Elephas maximus indicus: one gene and its partners. The protein of the gene in region 1 interacts with the protein of each later gene in a pairwise test. Links are inferred from orthologs where the notes say so. Each region holds a gene or a part of one and is shown in the gene's direction. Other genes may lie near its edges.

Region 1 (10,548 bases):
TTTATAATCCATTGAAGATACATAGCTGATTCTTCTCGTTTACTTTGCTGATTTTTTGTAAACTGGTTATCAAATAGGGCTTAGAATCTTGGTTAAATACTTCTAAAAAATTTGGCATGGTATTCCCTGTCATGCAGGATAAAGCAATTCAGATGTTTCATCCCAGAGAAGGTTCAAAACCACAATAAAGCACTGTACAATCAAAATATTTTTGGAGATTTTATCTTTCTATGTTTAGCTTGGAATAGAAAAAAAAGGTTATTAATGGAGTTCAAGAATTTGTGGAGAGTGAAGAACTAATCAGACTATAATACGCAGGTAAATAAAATTCTTTATAAGGAAATCGGAGTCCTGGTTGCTCAGTGGTTAAGAGCTTGGCTGCTAACCAAAAGGTTGACAGTTTGAATCCACCAGCTGCTCCTTGGAAACCCTATGGGGCAGTTCTGTTCCGTCCTATAGGGTCACTATGAGTCGGAATTGACTTGATGACAATGAGTTTGTGTGTGTGTATATAGTTTTTTTTTTGTTTGTTTGTTTATAAGAAATCCACAGTTAAATGTTGAAGGAAGGAAATAATATTCATATTTAAACCAGTTGGTCTAGAAAAAAATTGTTATGAAGTAGTAACTTTAGCTATGGGCAAAGAAGTAAAGGAAATGAGAGGAGAGGGTCTCAAAAAAAGTTAAAACCTTGGCTGTGATTGTCTTGTGTTATCTAGTGCTGCTATAACAAAAACACCACAAATGAGTGGTTTTAGCATACAGAAATTCATTTTCTTACAGTTTAGGAGGCTAGAAGTCTGAATTCAGGGTGCCAGCCCTAGGTAAAGGCTTTCTCTCTCTGTCAGCTCTAGAGGAAAGTCCTTGTCACTTTAGCTCCTGCTTCCTGGTTCCTTGGACACCTCCATGTGTCTTGGAATCTATCTTAAGCCCATCTCTCCTCTGCTCACTTGTTTAGTCTTTCTTATATCTCAGAAGAGACTGACTCAAGGTACACCCTACACTAATCTTGCCTCATTAATACGAGGGTAAGTAAAAAGTATTGTTACTAGCATTCCAGTTCATACATGCATGGGTTTATTCCAAACAAAACATGTTTAAACATGTCTCCGTGATCAGTGGATGGTTGCAGACAAGTTTTCTCAGTAATATACTTGTCTTAGTCTCGTCAGGGTGACTTCAGAAAAAAAAAAAAAGGATACTTTTTGTGTCATGGGAAAAAACGATTTTGAGGTCAAGGCTATTATCAAATTTTTAACAAAACTCAGGTGGACATCTCTTCAAATCATTGAAGCTTTGCAACAAGTTTATGGGTATGCTGGCCCACATTAAAGTTTTTAGATGGATCAAGCATTTTAAGGAAGGTTGGGAAGACCTCAAAGATGAGTCAAGAGAGGGAAGACTGCTCAGAAGTTTATGGCGACTGTTTTTTGGGATTACAAAGGACACAGGACAATCGTAGAGACTTACTATGAAGAAGTTTTAAGAACACTGAAAACTGCATTGGTGAGAAAAAGGCCAGGAAGTTTGCACTGAGGGCTTTTTTTCCATCAGGACAATGCACCGCCTCATTCTTCAAGGGTAGCAAGGACTGTCCTATGAGAATTTCATTGGGAAACCTTACCCTGTCCACCCTACAGCCCTGATCTTGCTCCTTCAGCCTTCTTTTTTGTTTTCAAAACTCAAAGAACATTTAAAAGGAACACGATTTGAGTCCTTTGAGGATGCCAAAACTGCTGTTTTGACATGGTAAATAGTCACATGCAGAATTCTTCCGGGAAGGGTTAGAGAGATGGAAACTTCACCTTCAGAAGTGTATAGACCTAGATGGAGGATATGCTGAGAAACAATAGCTTCACATTTTGATATTTTTGTTCAATAAAGTTTTCTATGATTTTGTAGTAATGCTTTTTGGCTTACCCTCGTATAACAAAGACAACTCATTCTCAAATGGGATTATAACCACAGTCATATTAACAACACATATTTTGGAGGGACATAATTCAATCCATAACAGTGCTCAAAAGAAGTGGAGACCAAAAGTACAATAGAGGGAGATGACACACTTTGGGACGATAATCCTACTCACCTGTCAGAAGAGAAGTAACTGGATTGTATAAAGAGGGTTACAAAGGGTCCTGGGACTGCATTAAAAATTTTTAAGAAATCTAATTCTTTCTAAGATCGAGAGTTTATCCCCACTTTTCTGATTCTTTAGGTATTCATAGTGTGCTTGCCACTTTGGACTTTCAGGGAGGTATGTGCTTTATCTGCATATCATGATAAGATCAGTGTGGTAGCTGAACAACGGCTCCCAAATACGTAGATGGCCCAATCCCTAGGGCATCAAGTGTTGTATGGCGAGGTGACTCTGCAGATGTGATTAAGCTGTGCATCTTGGCATGGGGAAAGAGATGATTTTGGCTTTTCTCTACGGGCCTAAATGTAACAAGTGTCCTTATAAAAGAGAGGCAAAGAAAGACTGGGGGCAGTGATGGTTCAGTGGTACAATTCTTACCTTCCGTGTGGGAGACTCACCTGGCTAATGGACCTCATGTGCAACCACTGCTTTTCTGTCAGTAGAGGCTTAATAATGCAATTGCCCCATGAATTTACACACATTTTCTTTGGCACCAGGCAAGGGCAGGTCGAGGTAAATGAGATCAAGCCTTATTCAAGATGACAGTCCATTACTTGGCATTTAGTAGGTTGAATGAATGTACTCTAACCACCGTACACTCTCTTTTTTTTTAAAGTCTACACTAGAGTGATTACCAGGCTGCTGTAGCTACCAACAGATCAGCTAAGACAGCTGCTTCACACAGCGTGCAGTGTATCATCTGTTCATGCCAACACAATCAAGTTAGCCTCTTTCCTCTGCACAAGGGTAAAAACATTAACAGCCCAGAAGATTAACACCTAACTGGAAAATGTGCTCCATATGCAGTTTTGAAACTACAGATTTTTTACAAGGACACTTCCAAAATGCAATCTATAATTCTTTTAATAGTTACATCAAACACAAAAATTTCCTTGATGTCAGTCATAATGAACATAAAAATGGTATAGAATAAGGGAAAAACAGTGGAGTAGACTCTGGAATTTTCCTTGCACAAACTATTTCATTTCCCTGTTTTGGGCCCATTTATTAATTTCTGAGGCAGAATGAACAATGTGCAGCTTAATGTCATGGATTGAATTATGTCCCCCCAAAAATGTGTGTGTATCAAGTTGGTTAGGGCATGATTTCCAGTATTGTATGGTTGTCCTCCATTTTGTGATTGTAATTTTATTTTGAGAGGATCAGGGTGGGATTGTAACACCACCCTTACTCAAGTCACCTCCCTGATCCAAGGTAAAGGGAGCTTCCCTGGGGTGTGCCTGCACCACCTTTTATTTCTCAAGAGATAAAAGGAGAGGGAAGCAAGCAGAGTTGAGGACATCATACCACCAAGAAAGAAGCACTGGGAGCAGAGTACATTTTTTAGACCCAGGGTTCCTGAGCAGAAAAGCTCCCAGTCCAGGGGAAGATGGATGAGAAAGACCTTCCTCCAGAGCTGACAAAGAAAGCCTTCCCAGGAGCCGTCACCCAGAGTTTGGACTTGTAACCTACCAAAATAAATTTCTCTTTGTTAAAGCCATCCACTTGCGCTATTTCTGTTATGGCAGCACTAGGTGACTAAGACACCTAATGACATTCTGTTTAGAAGGACTGTCTTTCTTTAAGGTCAGTTTTTGAAGCAAAGGCAGAAGCCAGCTTCCCCTGAATGGTTATCTTCCCCTGCATAAACTGACAGGCCTCTCAAAATTCTGACTTGGCAGTAGTCAAGACATCATTCATCACTAAGGCAACAGACCAAAAGGTGTCTCTTTGCTAGCTTGCCCCCTTTATCTTACTAACAATATGTTTTATTCATGGAAAGGAGAAGGAAAAACAATTTCCTTTTCTGTTTGAATTATTTTTTGCTATCAAGTATGAGAGAACAACTTTTGCAATTACAGTAGCTTCAACCAACTGTACTGAAGGCTGTGTTGTTATTAGTTGCAGACGGACTCTGACTCGTGGCGACCCCATGTGTGCAGAGTAGAACTGCTCCGTAGGGTTTTCAAGGCTTTTGCAAGCAGCTCGCCAGGCCTTTCTCCAGAGACACCTCTGGGTAGGTTTGAACTGTCAACCTGTCATACAGCAGTCCAGCTCTTAACCATTTGTACCATCCTGAAGTCTGTGGGTTTATGGAAATCCATGATTTCCAGAATCCAGGTCACAACCTCTTCTAAACCTGCACGTGTTTAACAACAGAATGCCAAGAAAAATCAAAATTTGGTCTCACGGCTTAATGAAAATTAAATCTAGTTAGTGCCTGCATAGGGGGAAAGATCTTTTAGAATTTCTTCAGAAGTATTTTATTTATACACACATCCTTATCTGTAAATTGAATCAACAAAGTAATCTTGATAGGCATAAAGCCACTCTACACCAAGCTCTGTGCTGTGTATATTCAGTCTTCTAGTTCCTTCAAAAATACCCTGGGGGTAGGAATTCTCATTTTTCAGTTGAGGAAAGAGGTTCAGAGAGATTAGATAACATACTCAAAAGTCAGGTGGCTCATCAACCTTGTGCTCTTTCTAAGGGGCTGCACTCTCCCTGGTTTATCTGCATGGTTAGGCAAATTCCACTGCTACTTAAAAGTAGAATGGCTTTGGCAGCCCCAGACAAACCTATTCTCTGGAAATTCATTACCTGGGGATACAAAAAGGGAAGGTGTCAGGAGCCCTGGTAGCACAGTGGTTAAAGTGATCCACCGCTAAGCTAAAGGTCGTTGGTTGGAAACCACCAAGCGCTATGCAGGAGAAAGATATAGCAATCTGCTTCCATAGAGATTTACAGCCTTAGAAGCTCAATGGGGTTACTATGAATTGGAATCCACTGGATGGCTGTGGGTAAAACAACATTTAAACAATCAGGCGATCACTTCAGAAAGGTTTTAGTTGATGTTTCATTCTTGAAACGTTATTGTATGGAAGCTCTAATTATAATACAGATGAGAGCAATCCCCTTCTCCTCCATTCTCCTTAACGCCTTAGGGTCACTGTAATCACCTCACTCTGTTATGTTGCATGTTGTCTGGTATAGTGTAGTTGTTCATATACTGAAGCCCCAGTGTTCTTATTCAGCTTCTTACTTGATTCAGCTCAAAGCATTAGTGAAATCCCAATGCCAGTTTCCCAGTTATTAAAGAAACGCACAAGTCTCAAGTGCATCTCTCCATACATATTTTTTTTACCTTTTAAAATGACATGGGGTCACAAGTGTTACTTTACTCGGATCTTTTCGGAGAGCTTCTTTTTCTATTGCTCCTTTTATTCAGAGGCGTTGTATTTGTGCTCAGTGTAACTGGACTTAAAGCTTGCCAAAAACTGATGAGTTCTTCTTCCCAAGTGTTTGAGAATTACAACTGACAACAGTGAATCCCTAAACTTTTTTTCTTTCACATGGTGGACAGAGTTCTCAGGCAGGCGGCAGTCTGGAGTTCAGATAAGAGGGCGCCTCCTGTGTGTGTCGCGTGTGCACGCCCAGGGACATCAGGCAGCAGTTGTCCGCCTTAGCAGTTTCACAAGACGAAGGTGAGGCGGAGTCTTCCGGGTCCCGAATCCCGTACAGTTTTGCCTGTTCACGAAGTACGCTCTTCCACACTTCTCGTCCCGGCAGTACCCGTTTCGCGACGGCAGAGCCTTTAAGAAAGCGCTGCCAAAAGAGACATTAAGTGTCTGTGGCTACCTCGCCTCCCACATTGCAACGCTTGCTTCCTACTGGGGAGGGCTGGAAGGGACTCCAAGATTCCCTGGTACAGGAGCACAGAGCTCTGCTACGCTTTATCTAACCAGGAGGCTACAGAAGCACACACAACTCCGGCGGTGGCAGCACCTGCCGATTTTCCGCTCTTCCCGACTGGCTCTTCGGCTTGCGCCGCCCTACGCCTGCCCTGCACCCTCCGAACCGAGACAAGCAGCGTCGCCTCTCCCGCGCTTCTCTCCAGCCCCCCGCACTGGCCTGCCTTTTATAGGCCCCGCAGCCAATCAGCACTAGCCTTTCCTTCTTCTCGCGCGACCGGCCAATCGCCGCGCCCCTTGTGTAATCTTCGTCTTCTCGGCTGCTCTCGGCTATTTTCGCTGTTGCTGGCTTTTCAGGGGCTGCTTGCTCGCAGCCAGAGACGCTCCTTTTTTTTTCCGGGTTCGGAGCCGTTCCGGATGCTTTAGACTGCCGGATGTCTGATCTCCGAATAACTGAGGCGTTTCTGTACATGGATTATCTGGTAGGTGCGGGACAGGGGTGGCATGTCGCCTCTCAGCTTCCGACGTGCCCCATGTCCCTCCGCCTGGAGGAGCAGCCTCTTTGCTTTTCTTTCTTTGGGATAGGATGCCTTTGGGGTTCTTTCTCCTGCAGCCAGCTGAAAAGCTGTGCCCGGGACTCGGAGAGGCGGCCGTCGGGGCCGCGGGGCAGCAGCATAGAGGGGATGGTGGGACTGACAGGTAAAGGTGCGGCCGGGGCCAGCCGGGCTGCGGGGCGAGGGTCGCACTGGGGCTGCCGGGGAGATGGGGCCGCGGCGGCGGGGCGTCTGCCCGCGGTCGGTGTCTTTGCTTCACTCTGCTCTCCCCGTAAGGGACTTCTTTCCGGGGAAGCAGGAGTTTTCCGCTTTCCCTCCAGCAGAACTCCAGGTACTATTAAAGAGCTATAACCAGAATGGCTCACTAAGTGCCTGGCAGCCTTGGTCATTTGGTTGTTATTAGATCCCTAAAGCTATGACCTCGGTCGCGGCGGGGTTTTAAAAGAACATTACCATAAAGTAGACGGGAGTAAACTCCATCGCAACCCGGCCAGAACAGGACTGGGCAGGCATTGTCCCACCGTTCGGCTCAGATCGTGGGTGCATGCTGCTTTTACCCCGTGCATGGATTGGGTCCCTAGTGTGCTTTTAGGCCAGGCTTGTACTGAGAAGTTTAGGTGGGAAAAGTGTCAGCGCAGAGCTGAGACTGAACATTATTTTAAAAAATGATTTGTGCGTTTGTGCAATTATGCAAGTACCATGTATTGTTCCAGAAATTATATTTCCCCAGAGCTGCATGTCTGTGGTCAAGGGAATCGGCATTTACATTGGCTGTGTCAAATCCTATGCAATTACTATGTTTACCGTGTGAGCCAGAACCGCTATTGCAAGGCTGAGTTGAAGCAGAGTTAAAAACACTGGCCCTCCTGTCATCTTGTTGGACACATGCACGGGTTTTCTACTGCAGGCTGGCCTGGCAGAGATTTGCCAGTGCCTTCTAGGAATTACACTTTAGGCTGTACTAAGAAAGACTGTGGATGCTTTCCTGATAAAGGAATGTTGGACAATGACTGGCTTTGTAGTGTTGTTAAGTGTACTTGGGCTTATTTTAGTTTACATGAAGAATATGTTTCCCCTAAAGCTGTATGGCTCTCCTGAGGGAGGATCATCACTGCAGTTAAAACTTGACCTTGTAGGTGGAGCGCTCACCAGAGTCAAAAATTCCGAGTTCAAATTCTGTTTTGTTGTTCTTTTGGTGATGGCACTAACTTCGTCTGTTTGTGATAGAGGGACGGTATCCACCCACTACCATTAAGCGTATTATCTGATAAAAAGCATGCTGTAAAATGTAAAGTGCCCTGTAGGTTAAGAGAGTTGCCTAATGTGACTGAAAGATTATTTTCTAAGTTAAATAACTGGTTAATTTGTAGCTTGTCTTGTAAAATACAGCGCTATGCCCAAATTAAAGCCAAAATTATTGAGGATAATTGCCGAGTAGGAAAGAGCAACATTACCCCTACTATTCAAAGCTAATTTTGGATACTTAGTTCCTAAAGAGAAAATCAAGTGGTTCTGATCATTTTATTAATTTCTTTTTGCACTAAGTGTGTTTTAAATGTACAAATTGCATCAAAGCTATCTTTGAGGTGCCAAACCTACCAAAACACTTAGTGAAAACAATATTGAAACACTGGTTAATTATTCAGATTAACCTCTAGATAAACCAAAAACCGCCAAACCCAGTGCCATTGAGTCGATTCCGACTCATAGCGACCCTATGGGACAGAGTAGAACTGCCCCATAGAGTTTCCAAGGAGGGCCTGGTGGATTTGAACTGCCGACCCTTTGGTTAGCAGCCGTAGCACTTAAACACTACGCCACCAGGGTTTAGATGAATGTTTGTGGGGCTCCAGTTTACCCAAAAAGTAGGTTAATTTCTTTGCCAGCTTACTATCAGTTTGGTGTCAAAATAATGGATCCCAAACTTGACATTCTGTCGTGTTTTACCTGTCACGCCCCCCACACTAGGTTAGCTTGTTTTAAAAAATCATTATTTTGTTACCTTAACTTTGCTTTTTTAAAAAAATGACAAGTGTGGTGTAACATTCCCATAAAAAATAACAAAGCAATGTTGTTGTTAGGTGCCATGGACTCATTTCCAGCTCATAGTGACCCCTCATACAACTGATCCTGTGGTCCTGCACCATCCTCACAGTCGTTGTGCTTGAGCCCGTTGTTGCAGCTACTGTGTCAGTCCATCTCATTGAGGGTCTTCCTTTCTTTCACTGATGCTCTACTTTACCAAGCATGATGTCCTTCTCCAGGGACAGATCCTTCCTGACAACGTGTCCAAAGTATGTGAGACGCAGTCTTGCCATCCTTGCTTCTAAAGAGCATCCTTGCTTCTTCCAAGACAGATCAGTGCCTCCTAAAAACATGTCCAAAGTACATGAGAGGTTCTTACTATCCAGACTTCTAAGGAGTGTTCTGGTTATACTTCTTCCAAGACAGATTTGTTCATTCTTCTATAGGCCACAGTATATCTTTGCCAATACCCTAATTCAAATGTGTCAGTTCTTCTTCAACAAAGCATTATTTGGATGATTATTGGAGGTGAGGAAATAAATCATAAAGGAAACAGTTCAGTGTTTGAGTGTGCAAAGTATCTCATATCAAAAGGTTTAAGAAGATCCTTAAGCATTAAGCCCAGTTTTAACTGAGATTGGACTGAAAAAATAAAAAACACACACAAACAAAAACACTCCTCCTGAGGTGATCTTTTTGTATTTACGTTTTGCCTACTAACTTTCAGAGAAAATGATATGCCACAGACCATTGCTTTCTTCTTTCAGATTGACTTGTTTCCTCATGCAGAACCTTTATGATGGTTATGAAAAACCCATTTCTGAAAAATAAAAACTTATTTGACAGTATCTGTGATCTTATTTTAGAGTTAAACTAATTCCCAGGTTCTTTTACTTGTTGTTATTAGGTGCCATCAAGTCAGTCACTCATAGTGACCCTGTGTACAACAGAACTAAATACTGCCTAGACCTGCGCTGTCCTCACAGTCATTGTTATGCTTGAGCCCATTGTTCCAGCCACCGTGTCAGTCCATGCCATTGAGGGTTTTCTTCTTGTTCACTGACCCTTCTACCTTACCAAGCATGATGTCCTTCTCCGGGAACTGGTCCCTTCTGATAACATGTCCAAAGTATGTGAGATGAAGTCTCGCCATCTTTGTTTACAAGGAGGGCTCTGGCTGTACTTCTTTCACTTACTACTTAGAAAAAAGGCTTCTTTTCATTACAAGTTTGATTCTTCAGATTTTGCTGAGTTTGTGGACTAGAGTAAGTGCCCTGTTTATACACTTGACAGGAATAATGGTGTGTGTCTTCTTTTTCTTAAATCCGTGTTTGACTTTCTTGCTGCTGTTGGAAGTTGAAGGAGGGAGCTTTGTGTATGCATTGTCCATTGTTCTTTGGACTGGATATCATCACTTAACCTTTTCATGTGGAGGAGAGCAGAAGGGAAGAAAAGTGAGAGAAAGATGGAGGTGCTATTTTTAACAGCTTTTAATAGGATTGAGATCCTAAAACAGATGAAGAATCTATTTCAGAGGTTGCTATTGATTTCTTAACTTAAAAGAAGTACTCTTCTTTAGAGATGATAGATAAAGTGAGGGACAGTCCCTTAATGTTTAAGACAGGGTTTTTAACTGTTTGGCTACTAACCAACTGGTTGGTGGTTCAGATCTGTCCAGAGACACCTAGGAAGAAAGGCCTGGTGATCTACTTTCAAGGTCACAGCTGTGGAAACCCTGTGGGGCACAGTTTTGCTCTGGAACACATGGGATCGCCATGAGTAGGAATCGACTCTATGGTAACTTTTGTTTTAATGCATTTAGTTCAGGGAAATATGTGGTAACTGGCTAATCCTAAATAATTACATGTATCACCCACCGCCTGCCTAGCATGGTACTGGCGCGTGGTAGGACATTTATTTGTTGAACTGAATGGATATGACATGAAGGGACAATTCTACTTTTTCTCACCAGCTTCTAAACTGAGCCAAGATAAAATCTATTTGGATTAGGCGTTTGGTTTTGTGGAATGCAGAAGGTATTCTTTACTCTTAACTTTGAGATTATCAGATGTGATTTGTTTAGCCTGGGTGGCAATTTAAAAATCAAGATCTCTTTTTGCCAGTTGATAAAGGAATTT
Region 2 (10,926 bases), on another chromosome or scaffold:
AAAAAACTTCCTGAAATATGTTAATGAAGCTACAATAAAGATACTGCAAAGAATGTTGCTGTTTATATCATACAGTGTCCTTTTAGTGAAAACCTGTGGGAGAAATTTTTATCAGGTCTTGGTAGTGGGAGACCTGAATAACTGGCTTGATTTTATCTTATGAACATTGGGATATGTTGCTCTTTGTTTCCCTCTTTGATTAGGCTGGTAGGAAGCTTGGTGAAATACTTGGTTTTCAAAGGGTATATCTAGTGTATATTAACTTTACCCGTGGCTTCATTGTTTGTTTTCCCTACAGTTATTTTCTCTCAGCCCTATGATTGTTTTTTATATTATGCCTGGTACTAATTTTATCTTTTTAAGCCACCTCAAATCTTTTTTTTTGGGAGGGACAAAGTAGAATATAATTCAATAAACAAAATAATCCCCCCCCCCCATTTGCTCCACAGATCCTTTACTATGCAGTGTTGGGAGTCAACCCCCGCTTTGACCCAGCTTCCTCCAGTTACTACCTGGCTGCTCACAGCCTCCCCCATGTCATCAATCCTGTGGAGTCGAGGCTGGGTGAGCTGATTTGAGGGCTCTTCTGCCAGGCCAGGGAGGGACTCAGGGCCTAGCCTGGGGTTGGAAGAGGGTTGTATATAGTGATGGTTTCCAGGCTGGGTTGCTCTGAGGGGTGGGGAAGTGCTGGGATTAAGGCCCCTTTTTCGTAATGCTCTGTTGATATCTCCATCCCTCATATCCAGAAGCATTTATTAAACATGATTCCCAGCACTTTTTGTAGATAGATATGCTGGGTCTCCATCCCTGAAAGCCATCTAGGAAAGACGGGCTAATGGGTAGGAAAGATGAGCTAATGGGTAGGAAAGACAGACAACAGCAAAAGTACATGGAGACTGAATTTGAATTGACGGCTCTGCTGATTGAGGTTGAGGAACCTTGAAGCCAGGATTACAGTTTTTCATTTTTGGGGTAGAGCCTAGGAAGGGTAGGTGTGACCAAGAATTGTCATGCAGGCAAACCAAAGTGGGTATATCACTGATTGTGGAATTTCTGGCACCAGAGGCAGGCCATTGTGGACCAGGGGTATGTGAGGGGCAGCACTTAGCAAGTTCCTTCTCCATAGAAGGATGTTGCAGGTCAAGGGAGCTATGAGCTTAGATGCAGACGAGTCAGACAGCATAGGCATTCAGTGAGCACAGAGTAGTTTAGCGTGGCTGAAATGATGATGCTGGCAAGGCAAGCAGCAAATACCAGACTGTTCAATAAGGACCACATTATGGAGTTTGATATTAATGGGTAGACTTTAAAAAAAATTAAGCAGAGAACTGACTTGAGATCAGATTCATACCTGTGCTTAAAACTAGGTATAATAATGTGGGTACAGTGTGGCAGTGGCCAAGAGAGCAAAGGGGGTCTCTTAAAGAAGATTCCAGGGGCATTTTGGGACTTAGGACCACACTCCATCCATCTGGCACATCTTGGGAAAATACTGAGAGGTCCTACACCACAGAAACCCAAGACTGGAGGATATCCCAGAGAGTATTAGTTGGGGAAACTGAGGCCCAGGGTGGGTGACCAGTGAGTTAGAGGCTGGCTTGGAGCTAAGATCTTGGTCTGGTGTGTTTGGTGTTCGATCTGCTCTTCTCTCTGTCCCACAGGGTCCAGCGCTGCTTCCCTCTACCCTGTGCTCAACTTTCTACTGTACGTGCCTGAGCTTGCCCACTCCCCGCTCTACATTCAGGACAAGGATGGGACTCCAGTCGCCACCAACGCCTTCCACAGTCCCCGCTGGGGAGGCATTATGGTAACAATCACACTGCAGACCCCAGTGCCCAAGCTTCAGGGATAGACAGATGATCCCTGAGACCGTTCTTTCTGTTGCCTCAGGTGTCCTCTGTGGCCTAGTCTGCGGGAGAGGCAGGCACCAAGGAGGCAAGGGTGCTGTGTGCTCCTGTCCTCCCTCTGCCAGCACCACTCTCTTGTGTTTGCCAGTGCTGATTGATGGCCAATATGACCCTTTTGCACTTGGCAGTTTGCACTTATTTAGGACTATTCTGTGAACATCTTAGGTCCTGGCCCTATTTGTGGGAGTCTTGCAAGGTTAGGAGCTTTGCCTCCCTTTTAGCCTGGGAGTTTCTCATAGCTTAGAACTATAAAATAAGATTTAAAAAATGTATTTGACAGGACGTTTGAGGGAATAATTGAGGTACTTTATGTAAATTCCTAATAGTAGTTGTTGTATGCTGTCAAGTTGATTCTGACTCATAGCGACCCTATAGAACAGAGTAGAACTGTCCCATGAGGTTTCCTAGGCTATAAATCTTTATGGGAGCAGATTGCCAGGTTTTTCTCCCTCGAAGCTGCCAGTGGGATGCCATTTTTGCTTAGCAACCAAGCACTTACTCAAAAAGTATTAGCTATGCCATCAGTTTTATAGCTTCCAAAGAACAGAGACTGTGTTTTCATTTTCTCTCATGACCTCCAGAGTGCCTAGGGAAGAGCTGTGCATAGTCCTGATGTAGTGTTATGGTGATCTCCTTCCCCCTTTCAGGTATACAACGTTGACCCCACAGCCTACAATGCCTCGGGGCTGCCGGTGAAAGTCGAGGTGGACATGGTACAAGTGATGGAGGTGTTCCTGGCTCAGCTGCGGTGAGGCCCTGGGTGTTCCATTCGGAGGGCATGGCCACTGAGAGACTGACCACAGTCTCCTTGGCTCTAGAGGGGGATTGCAATCAGAATGAAATCTCCCTTGCCAGGGATACCTGGGCTATGCCTAGAGCCACCAGGAAGCCAAGAAAGCTTTCCAAGAATTGCTTCATCCTTTTTCTAAGTAGGTCTGGTTGCTTGCAAAACCCAATTTAAGAAAGGTAGACATGAATGTCAGGTCCATGAGGCATGATTAGTTGTGCTTAAGAAAACAGCTATTAATTCATTGTACTAATTGATTGATTATGAGAGTGGCTGCCTGAAGTCCTGTGTGTCTGGCCGCATCAGAAAAAGAGTATTCTTCTGATTGATTAGCAATGTCTGGCATGGGTATAGGACGAGAGGCATAGCACACATACCTTTTTGTTAAAGATGGTCCTGGATCATCCCTTAACTCTTAAGTCCCAGTGGCCCCATTTGTCCAAAGAGAGGGTAAGGAAGGGTGAGGGGGTTAAACTCAGTTGGTGTTATCAGAAGTTTTTTAGCCCTGGAAGCTTTCTTCAAACAAGGTCTTGGATGGCCAATATAGAAACAGGTGAAAGTGGAAACACTCTGGGGAAAGCAGGGTTTGGGGCTCTGGATTGCTTGGTGGTGTTGCTCACTCTTCAAGACTCTGAGACACTTCCCCACAACCCCTATGGTTCAGGGTAAGATTGAAGTCATTGACTTAGGGCAGATAATCCAGGAATCTTAGCCATCTTCTCCCACCTTCTGGTCTCAGCCACCTTGATCTTACTTGGCTGTTCCTACAGACTGCTCTTTGGGATTGCTCAGCCCCACCTGCCTCCCAAATGCCTGTTTTCGGGGCCTAAGAGTGAAGGGCTAATGAGCTGGGAGCTGGACCGGCTGCTCTGGGCTCGGTCAGTGGAGAACCTGGCCACGGCTATGACCACCCTCACGTCCCTGGCCCAGCTTCTGGGCAAGATCAGCAACATTGTCATCAAGGATGATGTGGCATCTGAGGTACGTGGGCAGGGACGGATTCTGTGGCCTAGAACTGGAGAGGTCAGTGAGGGCCAAAGTATATGGTGCAACCGGAGAGAGCCATCTGAGGTCCAGGGTGTGTGTGAGCATGCCATCCTTGAGTGCCCCAGGCTTCCTCTAGAGGGCAGTGCCAGCCTCAGGAGTCCAAATGGGAATGAGAGGTTTCAAGCAGACCCTAAGAAATACACACATAGCCCTTTTATACTGACCTCCATTTATCCTGGGTGAACTCCAGGCAAACTCCCTGGTAGGCCAAAGGCAGGTTAAAGGCCAGCCCCTTCCCCACCATGCCTAGGACTTATTTTAACCCTCTCTCTCCTTCCTAGGTTTACAGGGCAGTAGCTGCAGTCCAGAAGGCAGCAGAGGAGTTGGCCACTGGACACCTGGCCTCTGCCTTCCTTGCCAGCCAGGAAGCTGTGACGTCCTCAGAACGTGCCTTTTTTGACCCCTCACTCCTCCACCTCCTGTATTTTCCTGATGACCAGAAGTTTGCCATCTACATCCCACTCTTCCTGCCTATGGCCGTGCCCATCCTCCTATCCCTGTTCAAGATCTTTCTGGAGACCCGCAAGTCCTGGAAGAAGCCTGAGAAGATAGACTGAGCAGGGCAGAATCTCAGTAGGAGCCCTTCTTTTCAGGCCAGGATGGGAGGTGTTAGATTGAGAGGCACATAAATCGGGCCTGCTGCGAATGACCTGTTTCCAGCCTCTGTTGCCTTTCCAGCAACCGAAGTGCAATACTCCAAGATGGATTCATCTTCCCTTTCCATTCCCCGGGCTCAGGTCTCCCTGCCTCCCCACTCCTCATACTCTCCGGAGTGTCATAGTAGCATCACCTCGGTCTCCTTATCTGACCTGAACTTGAAGATACCTGACTACCTCCAGCTGGGGCAAGGACAGCTTGTACTTCTACCCTGTTTCTCAACATAGCACACTCCTCTTGTTACCGAGAAGGCAGCATGAGGGAAAGCCCTGGTTGGATCCTTCCACCCTGCACAGTTTTCTCTAACCCCTCAGGGAGAGCCCCAGCACTGCTTTGCTGGAAGGGGCCCAGGCACAGGTCACTCGGGGGCTCCTCCCTTACGCCTCTCCTTCCTGGCTTGCTGCGCCTGTTGGGTACAGCCAGACAGACAGGAGTCCAGAAGGCAGCAGCTCAGGACTTGGTGCTGTGTGTGGCAGAGGCTTGGGCGGTATGGTACAGTGGAGAAAGTTCCAGAGTTGAAATCAAAAAGGCCTGAATTCCTTGCTTCTGCATTTATCATCTAGTGAGCTCCCTCATTTGTTAAAATGGCACTAATGACACCTCCCTTAACAAGGTTGTTGTGCAGATTAGATGTGATAAATCATGTGAAAGTGTCTGGCATCTACTAGGCTCTCAATAAACATTGGTTGAATATGAATTGAAATGATATGAAGTATGGCTATACTTTTAATTCTTCATTTACGTGTAAGTAATCGTTTTCTGGCATCTATCTTCCTGGGCTCACAGGTCCACCTTGCCTCTATCTGGCCATGTGCCCTTCCTGCCCCTCTGTCTTGTAGGGCTCTGGTGGCCCGACACCTGGGCCGTTGTCCGTCTGGGTGTCCTGGGTTGCCCAACAAGGCTGTTAGCAGCTACGTCTGCTTTTTAGCAGGGAACTGAGAGAATAGCTTATACCAGTGAAAGCCCTCAGGTACTAGCTCATTCAACAAAGGAAAAGTTATTGAGCACAGGCCTCAGTGGGCTTCTGCTAGGTGCTGGGGCCATAATAGGGAACAAAACAGTCCGCTTTGGCTTAGCTGGTCTTTGAGGGGGAAGAGACTGAGCAAATAAAAATAGTTTCAGTTATGTATTAGAAAAAAATGAACTAATTGGTTAATGATTGGGGGCGAGGGGGGTGTACTTTAGTTTGGATGTGAGGTATGGCCTTTGACATTTAAGGTGAGACCAAAAGGACAAGAAGAGGTCATATAGGGGGAGAACACCCTGGGCAAAGACTCCAAGGCTGGAGTTCGCTTGAGGACTGTAAGGGCAGTGAGAAGGGCACAGGGACTGGAGCGCAGCGTGGAAGGAGAGGTAGGCAGTACCTCCCTGAATTACCTTCCAGAAAATGAATGAAGCCCAGGGCCAGCCCTCACCCTAGCGGGGATGAGAGCCCTGGTGGGCGGTCCCCAGACTCCCGACCCCGGTGGGCCCTGCGCGTGGGCGGAGTCAGTGCCGGACCCAGCCCAGAGGAAGGGCCGGGGGGCCGGGGCGGAGCGGTACCTGGGGCCCCGGCCGGGGCGGGGCTGCGGCCGCTCACCCTTCTCCCGGCTCCAGCTGGCTCAGGCAGCGGCGGCGGCGGCGGCGGCAGCAGGCGAGGCCATGAAGGTGAAGAAGGGCGGCGACGGGGCCGGGACGGGGGCGGAGCCCGCTCTAGGGGCCTCAGGCCCGAGCGTGGAGCCCAAACCTGAGCCGAAGTCGCAAGCGGAATCCGAATCCGGGTCCGAGTCGGAGCCGGAGGCAGACCCGGGGCCCAGGCCGGGGCCACTGCGGAGGAAGCAGCCGATCGGGCCGGAGGACGTGCTGGGACTACAGCGGATCACGGGCGGTGAGCACCGGCGAGGAGCGCTGCCCGCCGGCTGCAGGGAGCAAGAGCGAGAAGGGGGACCCTCTCGTTGCGCGGGGCCCGGCCCCCGCCCCCCTTCCCGGCTCTCTCCCCGCATTCCCTCCCCCTTCTTGGCCCCCTCTTCTACGTTTGCTTCCCTCCCTCCTGCGTCCAAGCCTGAGGTCTCCATGGCCCCCCTTTCTTTGATCTCCCTGGGTACCCCTCCTCTCCCTTTTGAGGTATATTATTTTGGGGGACGGGTTCATTCCCTTTCCCATGGTGAAGGTCGGGCAGCAGCTGCAACTATGGCCCCTTCCCCGCGGAGTCCTCAAAGCCCCTTGAGGCCTGGCTCTGCACTGATGAGGAGTGGAGTGAGTGTAGCCTGTCCTCAGCCCCTGCCCCTGGAGGCTAGGTGGAGACTGAGCTGCTTAGGTGGACTCAAGACTACTGAGGTCTTCCTGACCATTAATGCTGTCACCCTGGACCCCCCCCAGGAAGACTGGGGCCATCCCCCACCCCGGAAAAGAAACTGAATGGGAAGCCTCAATGGGTTGGCTCTGGGTCCTGACAGGAGTGGGTTAATGCTGGCGAGCCTGGGCCAGGATCTGTACTCCTTCAGTGCTGCAGGACTCCAATCAATGGAGACCTATTCTCCACTGTGGTTAAGAGTTTCTGAGCCAAACTGGCTGGATTTGAGTCCCAGCTTTGTCACATAGTTGGCTGTGTGACCTTGGACAAGTAACCTCACCTCTCTGAGCATATTTCTTCATCTGTAAGATGGGTTTAATAACATCTACCTCATAGGGTTATTGCGAAGATAAAATTAACCTTCTGACTTTACACAGTGCCTGACACACTGCTTTGTAAATAGGGCTCTTTTGTCAACAGTACTGAGGGTACCACACAGGCTGTTCATGGCTGGAGGCAAACTGGGCATTCAGGCATTCAGGAGGTCACCATGGGCAAGGGACAAGGGCTAGGGGACTTCATGAAGGAGGACGTGGCAGAGTCTGGAAGAACGAGAGGCATTTGGGGAGGCAGTAGCTCTCCACCTTGGCTTCATTCATCAGCTGCCTGCTCTGGCTCCCTCTGCGACAGCAACGGTTGGGGCTCTTTCTATGGGGGTGGGGAACAGGCATGGGGACCTGAGCCCTGGAGCTGCAGAAACAGCAGAGCCTAAGGCTCCCAGACAGAGCTGTGGAGGGGACCATGATGACGGGCCTGGGCCTGTGCAGCTAGGTCTCTGGGGGTCCAGCTCTTCCCTCCTCTCTGAGCCAGGCAGCAGCCATTCTTGGCTGGGCCCCTGGAGGGCTGAGCTCCCTTGCTCAAGCGGGCACTGGTGGAGGGAGGGGGTCTGAACCAGGTTGATGTTGATGCCAATTGGGCTGTAGTTGGCAACAGCAGCATTTAGGGTTCAGCTTATTTCTGGGGCAGAACTTCTTCACAGAATGTCAGGAGCTCATGCTGACCTGTTTGGCCTGCCTGAGTTCTTTGTAACTACAGGGAGCTCCCAATCCACGTCCCATGTACCGTGCGTCTCCTCTTGTGAAGGAAATTCATAGCCCATAGAGACAGGGCATCTGTAAGTAGGGGAAGGGATTCATGGGAGCTCTCCCCTCTGCAGAATTGAAAACAGGGTTCCAGGGCTGTCTGCCCTGGCACTCCCTGCCTGGTCCCTTCTGACCCTAATCACACAGGTCTGAGGCTTGCTGTTCCTGGATTATCGGGCCCTGAATCCAGCTTAGGAAACTATTTGTGGCTGAAGCGAAGAGAGGAGTTGTGCTCTGAGCCCCGCTTCCCTCTTGTTCTAGCCTGACCCTGAGTGCCAGGCCTCATCCTTCCCTGGCAGAAGGGAGGGAGTGGCTGCGCTGTTCTCAGCTATGGGCATCCCCCGCTCCTCACTTCCTGTAAGGATGAAGGGGTTGATAGGTTGAGTTTGCAGTCGGAGAGACTGAGTCAGACTGCAAGAAGTTGTTACAAGTGAGAGGAGAGGCCCCAGAAGCTGGAGAGTGGGGAAGAAGAGAGGGCCTTACCAGGGGCTGGGAGCTGGGTGACTAGGATCCAGTTCTCAGCTTTGCTACCTCCTCTCCCTCTGCCCGGTGCCTTCTTTCTACATCTTTGGGCTAGTGCTTTCTGTGATGACAAGGTGTGCACAGGCTGGGGATAGGGACTGCCCACTGCTATTCCCTTCCTTTCTCCTCCTGGGCTGTGGTGGACAGGCCAGGGCTCAGGCCCCTCCTCAAGCCTTGTGTAGTCCCTGCTGGGCCCCAAGGTGACAGATGGCTGCCAGGAGGGCTTCCTGGAGGGAGCTACCCCAGGCTTGGGGAAGAGGCAGGCTGGGAAAGAGAGAATGACTTTATATTCACTTCCTCTTCCTGCCCCAGAGGAATAGGAGGTGGCCCAGGGGCCTGGGGGGTGATTTCCGGGCCTCTAGGGGAGGATGTGGTGCTGTGCGGGCTGAACTCACTGCGCCCCCCACTGCACCTCTCTGCCTCTCCCTATTTGTTGCCAGGGCCTCTCCAAGCGCTTCCAGTTGCTGCTGCAAGAGCAGTGATGGTCAGGGCAGGACTGGCCTATTCCCAGAATTCTTCAGCAGGGCCCAACCACAGCTCTTGGTTCCCTTTCTGGACCTGAGAACTCCCCTTACCCTCATCCACACTCCTCACCACACCTGCCACGCCCACTTCCTGGCCTAGCTATGGGGTGGGGGAGTACTCTTCTCTACGGGGACTGGCTCAGAGCCAAGGCTGCATAGATGATCTTCAAGGGGGGTTCCCTCTGTTTGATAAGACTTCCTCCTATTTGGAGGTCAACAGAGAATGGGAGCAAAGTTGGCCCCCTTTCCCCCAATATCCCAGGCTCTGGGCCTGAGTCAGCAGAGCTTTGGCTAAGCTGCTTAAGGGAGCTGGGCTTGCATAAGCTGCTTATGGGGAGAGGCGGGGACTGGGGGAGTGAAGAGGACCAGGGAAAGGGTTGTTCATCTGCCCCAGAACCACCCACATCAGGGAAAGTTCCCTCAAGATCAGCCCTTGCCTGACACATCCACATGTAGTGCGAGGGGCAGCCATGAGTGGGGCTGGGGGGTCCTCCAGAGAAGGACTGTCTCTCTCCCAAGGCAGAACTGTGTCACCCCTTCAGAGTGAGGTTCCCAAGGCAGGTCTGTGTCTTCCCATTTGTGCTGGGGGATCCACATCAGATTGAGACCCATTTGGCCCAAAGCCCCCCAGCCAGCCCTGGCAGGGCAGAGGCTGGAGTAAGGATCTTCAACACCAGGATGGGAGGGAAGATGTGGGGAAAGTGGCTGTGTCCTCTACCCATCTCTGCCCGGCCCCTCCCTGACCCCCAAAGGCCACTAGGATGGGACTGTTGGTTCCCCATAAGATCCCAGTGGCAGACTCATATCTCTCCCACACTGAGTCGGGGGTTTCCCCAGGGCAGGGTCTTAATTCCCTCCTGAAAGGCAATACCCCTAGGGGTGAGAGAAAGTGGTAGCTAGTCAGGGGTCCCCCAGAAGCTGAGCTGGCAGGAGGGGCTTCTGGGCAGGCTCCTTCCTTGCTCAGTCGCCTGCCTCCCCTAGACTACCTGTGCTCCCCTGAGGAGAATATCTACAAGATCGACTTCGTCAGGTTCAAGATTCGGGACATGGACTCAGGCACTGTCCTCTTTGAAATCAAGAAGCCCCCAGCCTCAGGTGAATGGGCTGGGTGGGCCATTGGGGTGGGAGGTAGGCAATTGATAGAAGAGGCTGCCCAGGGAAACTTGAGGCCACAGGGCAGTCAGAGCAGAGCAGGGTTTTGTACTCTAGCATTCTTGGGGGTCTCCAGGCAAGGAGACCTCTGCCTGGGGGTGGGTCCCCTTTTTCTTCTCATCTGTCTGAGGTTGGCATCTTCGGAGAACAGCCCTGCCCCTTCAGTCCCTGCTGGCCTGCCCCCTGCAGGCCTCCCTGGGAATGGCAATCCCAGGGGCCTCAGGCTTCTGTTCTCCCTGTGGCCCTGGGAGCCACTGTGGAAACTGGTGACTAGCTGACCTTTCTAGGTGAAAGGGCTGTTCCGCCAGTGGTTCTGAACCCTTGCTATGCATCAGAATCTCCTGGGGAGATTTCAAAAAATATAAACAGATAGCAGCCCTAGGGGGGGACCCCTGGGTGGGCAAGGGCCCCAGCCTGAACCCACTGAGCCCCAGCTGGGGTACATTGCAGAGCGGTTGCCCATCAACCGACGGGACCTGGACCCCAACGCTGGGCGCTTTGTCCGCTACCAGTTCACGCCTGCCTTCCTCCGCCTGAGGCAGGTGGGAGCCACGTGAGTCACTGGGCTGGGGGCCTGGGCTGGGGGCTAGGGTGAGGGTGGGAGCGAGCCCTTCCTGAGTCTTCCTGAGCCTCCCTGAAGGGCCGACTGTCCTGAGCCCCGCTTGCTGACTTCCAGGCCGGGCTCAGCCCTGTCCCCTTGTCTTGCTCAGGGTGGAGTTCACAGTGGGAGACAAGCCCGTCAACAACTTCCGCATGATCGAGAGGCACTACTTCCGCAACCAGCTGCTCAAAAGCTTTGACTTCCACTTTGGCTTCTGCATCCCCAGCAGCAAGAACACCTGCGAGCACATCTACGACTTCCCCCCGCTCTCGGAGGAGCTGAGTGCGTGGGCAGGGCCTCATGAGCGTGGGGTGG
Region 3 (10,212 bases), on another chromosome or scaffold:
TGCCCAATGGACTCATGAACAAAGTGGCCACGGTAGCAGGGATGGAGGTTATGCATGGGCTCAGCAACATGGACTTCCACTCACCTAGGTTGACTTGGATACAGCCACTACTGAGTGCCTGTACAAATGGTACAGGGGCAGTGTCTGACCTCCTCTAACTTCACAAGGAAGAAGAAAAATAAAGATCAACAGCCCAAGACTGATTCCCATGAGGCAGAGGTCAGACATGACCCTTCTCTCCACCATCTTTACCAATTCTGACACCAGTTGTCCCTCCCACAGCACTCTCTACTTCTCTACTGGGTTTGATAATTCACTGCAACGGCCACACAGAACTCACAGACAATACTCTCGATTATGGGGTTTATTAGGGAAGTAACAGGTTACAGTTCAGGTTCAGGAATGCTCAGGATACGGTTCTTTGGTCAGGGCAGCCTCTTCCTAGCTGTGCTCTCAGGCAGGCCTCTGCCTGGCCCTCGGCCTCTGCCCTGCTCAGGCAAGTGTTACAAAGCTCTTTCAGCTCTGCTGGTAAGTGCCTAGAAGCACTCCACTCCACCAGCAAGCCAGCTTTCTTGCTCTGTAGGCTGGGAAGCCCACCACACTGTCTCCTGCCAATCTCTCCTGTTGCCACTTCTCTGCCACCACTTCTTGCTGACTTCAGTGTTAGTGACTTCTCAAAGTCAGTCTCCTAGTTCCAGGAACTTCTCAGTGCAGGAATTCCAGGTTCAAAGGACATACTCCGCTCTTGACTGTTCTTCACTGGTGGTGGTGGGGTCCTCTCCTTCCTGCTTCTGGGATGGCTCATTTCAAGCCCAGTGGGATGGCAAAACTGACCGATCCCCTTGGTGGGCCACAATTACCCTACTTCCACAATCCCACCCAATCACTTAGGTGGGAGTTACCAGACCATGGCGAAAAAGGCCACACAAAAGAGATCCATCACACCACAGTACCCAATTTGCCAGTAGCAGAGACCAACACTGAGTCTTCGGTGCGGCATCATTCCTCCTGGTGATCTGGGGGCAGGTTGATTACATTGGGCCGCTTCCATCATGGAAAGGGCAGCGCTTCGTTCTTATTGGAATAGACACTTACTCTGGATATGAATTTGCCTTCCCTGCATGTAAAGCTTCTGCCAAAACTACCACCAGTGACTTACAGAAAACTTATCCACTATCATGGTACCCCACAAAACATCGCCTTGGATCAAAGGACTCACTTCACAGCTAATGAAGTGTTGCAGTGGGCCCATGCTCATGGAATTCACTGGTCTTATAATGTTCCCCCATCATCCTGAAGCAGCTGGTTTGATAGAATGGTTGAATGGCCTTCTAAACACACAATTACGGTGCCAGCTAGGTGGCAATACCTTGCAGGGTTGGGACAATGTTCTCCAGGAAGCTGTACATGCTCTAAACTAGCATCCCATATATGCTGCTGTTTCTCCCATAGCCTGGATTCATTGACCTAGGAATCATACACTCAGATTCTAGATGTCTTAGAAAATATTGCTGAAGACCAGACACAAAAAGGAGGTACCAAAAGAGAAACTGAAAACATCGCCAATAAAATGCAAATGCTAGAGTATGTATTTATGTTGGTTATGTGGACTAATATATTGCATCATTTTCATTGGACAAGTCAAGCTCTCCAAGATTTAGAAGTAAATTTGAAGACATGCACAGCTCTCTACCAGTCATTAACAGGGAATTTACGTAATTTAAGAGAAAATTTTGACAACACAACAAAACAAATCCTACTGAATATTGATTATCAAGCAGTTCACTGTTGCAGAAGCATTAGCAAGAAACAAATAAATGATGGAAGTGTTCCAAAATATTGTTGAGTGCCAGAGATCAATTTCATGTGACCACACACTACACCATCATTGACAAACTTGAATCTTGCAAGAAAAGAAGGGTGAAAGTATAGGAAGTTCTTTCAAATAGATTTTTCTTCTTAAACAACATGGATATACCTGAGGAAGAATGCATGGAGGCATCCAAGAAATTAATGCAGGCTTATCCCAATGACTAAAATACAAACCTTTACAGAGAAGCATGACAATCTCATTCTTACATGAGAACTAAGTTTACAGATTCGGGAAAGACAAATTTTACTCACGTAGGCATGTATGATTCCATAATAGAAGATAAAATACAATGCATATTTGCCAATGTTGAAAATTCTTTACACATATTCCTAACTTTAATGATCCCAAACTGTACAACAGAATGCTCATTTTCATCCTTAAAGAGACTCAAAACCCCTCAGCATACAACAATGGTTCAAGAAAGGCACGATTCATTATTCTTATTATGTATGGAAGTAGATATTGTTCAGCAGCTTAATTGTGATGAAATCATTGAAGAATCTGTAAGAGCAAAGAATAGAAATGTTTCTAATTATAACATTTTAGAGGTGAAATATCTATCTAAAAATAAAATAATTTGTTGTAATATGTTTTCTGATCGTTAAATTTTCTTTTATGACATCTTTTCATTTGTTCATTTATAATTATACCATTTATAACAAAACAAGCATCAGAATTGAAGTATGAGGCATTTAAAGCAAAATTAATAAGTCAATTTTTCATTGTGGGAGATCAACAGAATTTTACATTGATTGTTGAAACAACTAAGCTCACTGACTTATTTTCTTTGTTGTAAAGTACGTGGCATATTCTTTTTGTAGAAAATGTGGTATATAGTATAAATCTTAGTTCCCCACAACCACTCAATATTTTATAATCCAGCTCATCTCATTCCATTAAAGTGGCATACGCCACTTCTGCACTCCATATTATAGTCGCATTTAAAAAGAAATTACATCATGGATAGCTAAGACACACACACAGATATTGTTATTTTTAAGTGCCGTCTAGTCGGTTCCAACTCACAGCAACTGTCATGGATTGAATTGTGTCCCCAAAAAATGTATATTAACTTGGTTATGCCATGATTCCCAGTATTGTGTGGTTGTCCTCCATTTTGTGATTGATATAATTTTCCTATACGTTGTAAATCCTAATCTCTGCCTGGGGTTAATGAAGCATGATTAGATTACGTTAAAAAGGATTAGGATAGGGTGTAATACCCTTACCCAGGTCACATTCCTGATCCATGTAAAGGGAGTTCCCCTGGGGTGTGATCTGCACCACATTGTATCTCTCAAGAGATAAACGGAAAGGAAATTGAGCAGAGAATGGGGGACCTCATACCACCAAGAAAGCAGCACCAGGATCAGAACGTGGCCTTTGGACCCAGGGTTCCTGCATGGAGAAGCTCCTAGTCCAGGGGAAGATTGATGAGAAGGGCCTTCCTCCAGAGCCGACAGGGAGAGAGGCTTCCCCTGGAACCGATGCCCTGAATTTGGACAGGTAGCCTACTAAAAAAAAAAAAAATTTTTTTTTTTTTTTTACTAGACTGTGAGAAAATAAATTTCTCTTTGTTAAAGCCATCCACTTGTGGTGTTTCTGTTACAACCAGTACTCGATAACCAAGACAGCAACCCTATGTACAACAGAACAAAACACTCCCCAGTCCTGCACCATCCTCACAATCTTTATGCTTGAGCCCAATGTTGCAGCCACTGTGTCAGTCCATCTCGTTGAAGGTCTTCCTCTTTTTCACTGACGTGCTATTCTACCAAGCATGATGTCCTTCTCCAGTGACTGGTCCCTCCTGATAATACTCCCAAAGTATGTGAGACAAAGTCTCGCCATCCTTGCTTCTAGTGAGCATCATGACTATACTACTTCCAAGACAAATTTGTCCTTCTGGCAGTACATGGTATATTCAATATTTCTTTACTAACACCATAATTCAAAGGCATCAATTCTTCTTTGGTCTTCCTTATTCACTGACCAGATTTCACATGCATATGAGATGATTGAAAACACCATGGTGTGGTTCAGGTGCACCTTAGTCCTTAAAGTGACATCTTTGCTTTTTAACACTTTGAAGAGATCTTTTGCAGATCTGCCCAATGTAAAGCGTCTTTTGATTTCCTGACTGCTGCTTCCATGGGTGTTGACTGTGGATCCAAGTAAAATGAAATCCTTGACAACTTCAATCTTTTCCCTGTTTATTGTGATGTTGCTTATTGGTCCAGCTGTGAGGATTTTTGCTTTCTTTGAGGTGTAGTCCATACTGAAGGCTGTAATCTTTGATCTTCATCAGTAAGTGCTTCAAGTCTTCTTCACTTTTAGCAAGCAAGGTTGTGTCATCTGCATATCTCAGGTTGTTAAAGAATCTTCCTCCAATCCTGATTCCCTGCTCTCCTTCATATAGTTCAGCTTCTTGGATTATTTGCTCAGCATACAGATTGAATAAGCATGGTGAAAGGATATAACCCTGATGCACACTTTTTCTGGCTTTAAACCATGCAGTATCACCTTGTTTGGTTCAAACAACTGCCTCTTGGTCTAAGTACAGGTTGCTCACGAGCACAATTAAGTGTTCTGGAATTCTCATTCTTCACAATATTATCCATAATTTGTTATGATCCACACAGTCAAATGCCTTTGCATAGTCAATAAAACACAGGTAAACATCTTTCTGGTATTCTCTGCTTTCAGCCAAGATACACCTGACATCAGCAATGATATCCCTTGTTTTACACCCTCTTCTGAATCCGGCTTGAATTTCCGACAGTTCCCTGTCCATGTATTGCTGCAACCGCTTTTGAATGATCTTCAGCAAAATTTTACTTTAGTGTGATATTAATGATATTGTTTGATAATTTCCACATTCTGTTTGATTACCTTTCTTTGGAATGGGTACAAATATGGATCTCCTCCAGTTGGTTGGCCCAATAGCTGTCAAACAAATTTCTTGGCATAGACGAATTAGCACTTCCAGCGCTGCGTCCGTGTCTTGAAACATCTCAATTCGTATTCCATCAATTCCGGGAGTCTTGTTTTTCGCCAATGCTTTCAGTGCAGCTTGGACATATATATATACCCATTGCCCTCAAATGGATTCTGACTTATAGCGACTCTGCAGGACAAAGTAGATCTGCAGAGTATCACATCTTTCTCCTGAGGAGCGGCTGGTGAGTTCAAATCACCAAACTTTTGATTAACAGCCCAGCGCTTTAATCACTGTGCCTCCAGGGCTCTATCATATATAGATATAAATCACATATCCCGATAGAATGTGTGAGTAAACAGAGGAAGGTGCACCACAGATTGTCAGCATTCAGGGCCCTCATATGCCTTAACGCGGCCCTGGACTCAGGGCCAATCTAACTCTGTCCCAGCTTGCTATGACCTCTGGCCATTGTCTTCACCTCTCTGGGCCTCAGTTTCCTCACATGTAAAACAACAGGGGTTAGATTAGCAAATTCTCTAAAGTCACTAACTGTATCGATATTCTGAGTTTACAATCCATATATTTCCCAGGCCAGTGCATGAACACACCAGAATCCCCTGCAAACCACGTAAAAGGCGCCCCAGACCAACATACAAGCACAATTTGAAGGAGTCATTTCGTTAGTCTCATGGTTAAATCAGTGTTTTTGTTTGTTGTTTGCAGCCTTACCGTGATTTGCAGGAGAATGCTGAGTTTCATGTAAAGAGAAGTTAGTTCTTTGTGGGCTGTCATTTTCATTTCAAGGGGAAGAGGGTCTTCCTGCCCGGTCTACAGTCTCCGATTCCGAAACCAGAGAGTCCTGACGGCGAATTTATGAATTTGCAAACCCTAAGAGGGACATACAGACGAACGGGGTGCAGGGAATGCTGGGATCTGTAGTCCCTGGGCCTCTTTGTTGCGTGCCGGGATCTGTGGTTCCCGGCAGTGCCCCTGGAATGCTGGGAAATGTAGTCTCAGCCGCATCGCTTAGTGCAACCTGCCTTCATCTCAAAGCCCTGCTGTACCCAGCGGCAAGAGCAGGCCCCTGGAGTCTCTGAAGCCAACATTCCCCTGGGACAAACTCCAGGCAACAACTCCAAGTGAAATATTTGTCCTAAGGGACGTCCCCGGGAGGGCTCTTCCCACTGGCGCTCCCCATCCCCCTGCGAAGCCGCTGGATGTCATTATTGGTTGATCAGGATGCCAATCGCCGAGGCGGGCTTTCCATTGGCGGAGGGGCGGGCGCTCGGAGGCTACGGGGAAGAAGAAGGGATAAGGAGCGGGAGCTGAGGGGAGAGAGAGGCCGGTCCGGATCTGGCCGCTGCCGCTGCTCGCCCGAGGTCTCCAGGCCGGGCTGCGGCTCCGTCCTCGGCTCCTCGGCATCATCTCCGAGGCTCCGCCGGGCCAGCGTGTGAGAGCCGCGGGCGGCGGCCGCCGCATCATGTCAACCGAGGACGAGCGGGCCAGGGAGATCCTGAGGGGCTTCAAACTGTATCCGCCCGGGAGCGGGGCGGGGCGGGGCCGGGAGGACTGGGAGGCGGCCGCCCCCTGAGGAGACCAGCCGCGCGGGGGCCGCGCCGGGTGGGCACCTGAGGAGAAGGGCGCGGGAGGGGCGAGCACAGGACCGGCGTCCCGGACCCCGGCGGGGACCGGCGCTGGAGGCGGGCCGAGGGGCGTCCTGAGGGAAGAAGGGGACGTTGACGGGAGCCCGGGGGTGGAGGCGCGGGAGCCCCGGGAATTGGGCCGGGGGAGGCTCCGGGCGTCGGAAACGGGTTTCGGGAAGGCCCGCTGGGTTCTGAGCTCCAGCCGGGACCCCGAAGTCGGACAGGGGCCGCGACCCGCAGCGGGTGGGGGCGCGGTGGGCCCCCTCGAAGCCCAGGAGTCTCGTTGGCGGGAAGCCCACGGGGGGACGCGGAAGGTGACTTGGAGCGAGTGCCCTGGTGTGGGACAAATGCGAAGGCTTGTGTTCCACTCTCCGAGCCCCCTGCCCTTCCCCGCCCCCGCCTTGTTTCCACAACTTCTCTTCCTCACTTGTGGCTTCTCCCAGGGCCGGAGGAGAGGAAGGTGGGGCAGGAGAAGTCCTACATCGACCTCATCTAACTCTGTCTTGGCCTTTTGAGGCGCTGGATGGCCACTGCTTCTCCCCTCAACTCTTCCGTTTTCTTTCCAGAAAAAATGAGGACCCTAAACTGTGTGTGAGATAACTGGATGTGCTTTGGGGTTTGCCCTGGGACTCCTAGCAAAGGTATCTTGGCTTGCTCCTGTGTTTCCGAAATGCGTAGGCATGGTGGAGCTGTCCAGCAATGAATTGATGACTTTGGGGATACCGTAGGCTATAGTAGGGTATAGAAATCATTGCCACAGGCCAGTTGTGACACCCCTTTCGTCACCTTCTCTCTTTCGTGCAGTAAAGAAGCTTTGTGTTTTCATGGAGTATTAATCTGTAACTATATGATGCGGATGAAAAAAATGCATTCTTGTATGTGGCAATTTTACGTTTTCCTGCTGACCTTAAAGTGTCCTTACATCTAATCCATACAATGTGAAATAGTGTAAAATTTCTCTCTCATTGAAAAATGTAGTCATCACTTCAGGGCTCCCCCCACCTGGGAGGTTTAATGGAGCACTGGTCTCTGAGCTGCCTGGTGTGTTTTCTCAATGCCCATTTCACCCCTGCAAATTTGAATTGTTTGATCATCATCAGAAGACAAGTTGGTAGTAATTTTTAGGACACAAAATGAGAAAAAGGTACAGGAAGTCTTGGATGTACAAATGACATTTTTTAAATGGAAGTGGACCCAGTATGCTTTTTTTTTTAATTGAATGCTGTATCACTTTTGCGTGCTGCTGTTCATGATAAATTTTTATTACTTTTCCATAGTGATGTTTAGTGACAGCCTTTTCTTATATGCTCCATGTACCTTTCTCTTGTTAATGAAGCCTGTAAGTAGATAAGGATGACTGTAGTGTTAGAAAAGCCCGGACATGAGTTTTGTTTTTCCCTTAAGTAATTTATATTGTTCTTTAACATGTATGTTGTAGACAGTAAGCCAGAGGGTATGGAAAGTTGACAGATCTCAGAAACAATACTTTTGTCTGATTGGAATTAGCTTAATGCTGAAAACAAGAAAGGGTCTTTTTAATGACTTCTGAACAATGTGGAAAGGGAAAGTTTGAGCTTGTCACCTTCAGTGTTGGCCCTTGAACCTGTTGAGAAAGAGACTGAGAGACAAATATGGGAAAATAGTAGAAAGCAGAACCTGTGTCAGCCACTAAAAGAAAAAGTGGATTAACCAATTCAGTGATGACATCAGTGCGTCTAGAAAAAGGCTTTCAGGGAAAGTTTGACCTGTGCTGACAAAATCCTGAAGCTCAAAGGAAACAGCCACATAAAAATGTTAGCATGGGAGTGATGCTTTACTTATCCTTTGGTAGCTTTTATTGGCATCTGAGGATTAAGAGAGAAAAAGAAAGAAGGGGTTTTAGGATTTGGTAGTACCTTCAAGAAAGAATAAAATTAATGTTTTAGTAAGTTTTATTACTACAGTAGAAAAGCTCCATTGTATTCTCCCAGCAACAGTGTTGGTGGTTCTCATTTTCCCATATCTACTCTGTCGGTCTTTATTTTCCCCCAATTCGGACAATAAATGATACCTTGTTTTAGAGTATATTTCACTGGATTTCTAGATCCCTGGGAAAGTAATTTAAGTAAGGTTTAAGAGCCTGAACTACTCTAGAGATACACTGCATTGGAATCTCAGCCCTGCACCCCTGGTTATGTGTCCCTGAGCAACTTTTATAACCTCTGCCTCAATTTCGTCAACTGAAAATGAGGATAAATAATAGTACCCACCTCATAGGGTTGCTATGAACATGAAATGAGTTGGTGTCTAAACCTTTTAGAAAAGTACTTGGTGCGTAGTAGGCAATATGTGCCATTGTTGTTATTATTACTATAAAAGTTGCAAATCTGTTTGATCATTTCTTTTTCTTCTGTTGACTGCTTATTGGTATTGTTTTTGCCCATTTTACTATTGAATTGTTTATTTTTCTTATCGCTTCATAGGTGTTCTTTATACGTTTTAGTATTAATCCTTTGCCTGTTAGGTGGTGGTACAAATATCTTCTCTCAGTGTATTGTTTGTCTCTTTTTTGTTATTGTTGAACAAAATTTTTAAGTTGTTGTCAGATTTATCAATATTTTCCATATGGCTTCTGCATTTTTGTGTCTTGTTTAAGACAACCTTCCTTATCCCAGTATTAATGAAATATGCTCTTATGTTTTCTTCTCTTTTTAATTAGCTCTTTAATCTGTTTGCAATGTCTTTGTATGTGTGGTACATGGTAAAAATCTAACTTTTTCTGCTGTTTAGATAGCCAATTGTCCAATACTGTTTGCTAAGTAATTAGTCCATTGTCTGCCCACAGCTTTGAAATGCCATCTTTATCATATACTAAATTTCCATAAAACCAAAAACCAAACCAAACCCCTTGCCATCCAGTCGATTCTGATTCATAACAACCCTATAGGACAGAGCAGAACTGCCTCATAGAGTTTCCAAGGAACACCTGGTGGATTTGAACTGCTGACCTTTTGGTTAGCAGCCGTAGGCATGGTTTTATTTTTGGATTATTTTTGTTTCATTGATCCATTTGTCTCTTCCTGTGCCCGTACACATTGGCTTAATTATTACAGTTTTATTATATGTTTTAGTATAGTTAACAGTATGAGCAAAGTGTGTGTTTAAAGTCATATTGTAAGGTCTTTATAAGCGTTTATGTCTCTATTATTCACACAGAGCCTTGCCTATATGCCCATAGTAGATACTCAAAAAGTATGAATAACAGTGTCTTAATCAGATATTGTCTTTGTGTCTGAGAGAATTCAGTATAAGCTTTTATACTTGCCTAAGTTATTTCAAAAATACATCATTTTTAAGATTTCTTTCTTATATCGCCTTCACCCCACCCCAGCTTGTACACGTTAAAAGTCCTATATTTCTTTCTTGTTTGTTAAAAGCATAACATTTCCTAAATTGTAAATTAAAGTTATAAATGAAATGTGATTTTCCTGCAAAGGTTTTGGATTTGATTATCTTAAGTAGCTGATATAGAGATTGATGTTTGTATCCTCCTTTCTTCATATCATTACATTCAGCAGTTATCTGTTGGGTGATGATTATGTACAGGACACTGTGTACTTGAAGGATACAAAAGTCATTTGGTCACTGTCCCCTCCTTCTAGTTTAACCATTTTTATGTCATTTTGGGAGGGATATCTTCAAATGCAATGCATTTTTAAAAACAGTGTTTAATATTTCTAATACAAATTCCAGCCACCCAGTAATAACCGTTGTTA

The links.
Region 2: the proteins of ARL15 (region 1) and UNC119 interact in binary tests that used the Homo sapiens proteins (3 or more experiments, as listed by UniProt). The link is inferred for Elephas maximus indicus from reciprocal best matches to the Homo sapiens genes ARL15 and UNC119.
Region 3: the proteins of ARL15 (region 1) and PDE6D interact in binary tests that used the Homo sapiens proteins (3 or more experiments, as listed by UniProt). The link is inferred for Elephas maximus indicus from reciprocal best matches to the Homo sapiens genes ARL15 and PDE6D.

What each region holds. Positions count from the first base shown.
Region 1 is NC_064820.1:57,615,771-57,626,318, reverse strand, and holds the start of ARL15 (ADP-ribosylation factor-like protein 15), read left to right. Parts: upstream 1-6,154; 5' UTR 6,155-6,265; coding exon 6,266-6,313; intron 6,314-10,548.
Region 2 is NC_064837.1:23,332,914-23,343,839, forward strand, and holds the start of UNC119 (protein unc-119 homolog A), read left to right. Parts: upstream 1-5,951; 5' UTR 5,952-6,039; coding exon 6,040-6,265; intron 6,266-9,839; coding exon 9,840-9,953; intron 9,954-10,460; coding exon 10,461-10,563; intron 10,564-10,720; coding exon 10,721-10,893; intron 10,894-10,926. Other genes in the region: PIGS (GPI transamidase component PIG-S), read left to right, coding at 450-564, 1,662-1,807, 2,555-2,655, 3,465-3,675, 4,023-4,298. UniProt on the Homo sapiens protein: Involved in synaptic functions in photoreceptor cells, the signal transduction in immune cells as a Src family kinase activator, endosome recycling, the uptake of bacteria and endocytosis, protein trafficking in sensory neurons and as lipid-binding chaperone with specificity for a diverse subset of myristoylated proteins.
Region 3 is NC_064824.1:134,084,005-134,094,216, reverse strand, and holds the start of PDE6D (retinal rod rhodopsin-sensitive cGMP 3',5'-cyclic phosphodiesterase subunit delta), read left to right. Parts: upstream 1-6,104; 5' UTR 6,105-6,294; coding exon 6,295-6,344; intron 6,345-10,212. UniProt on the Homo sapiens protein: Promotes the release of prenylated target proteins from cellular membranes. Modulates the activity of prenylated or palmitoylated Ras family members by regulating their subcellular location.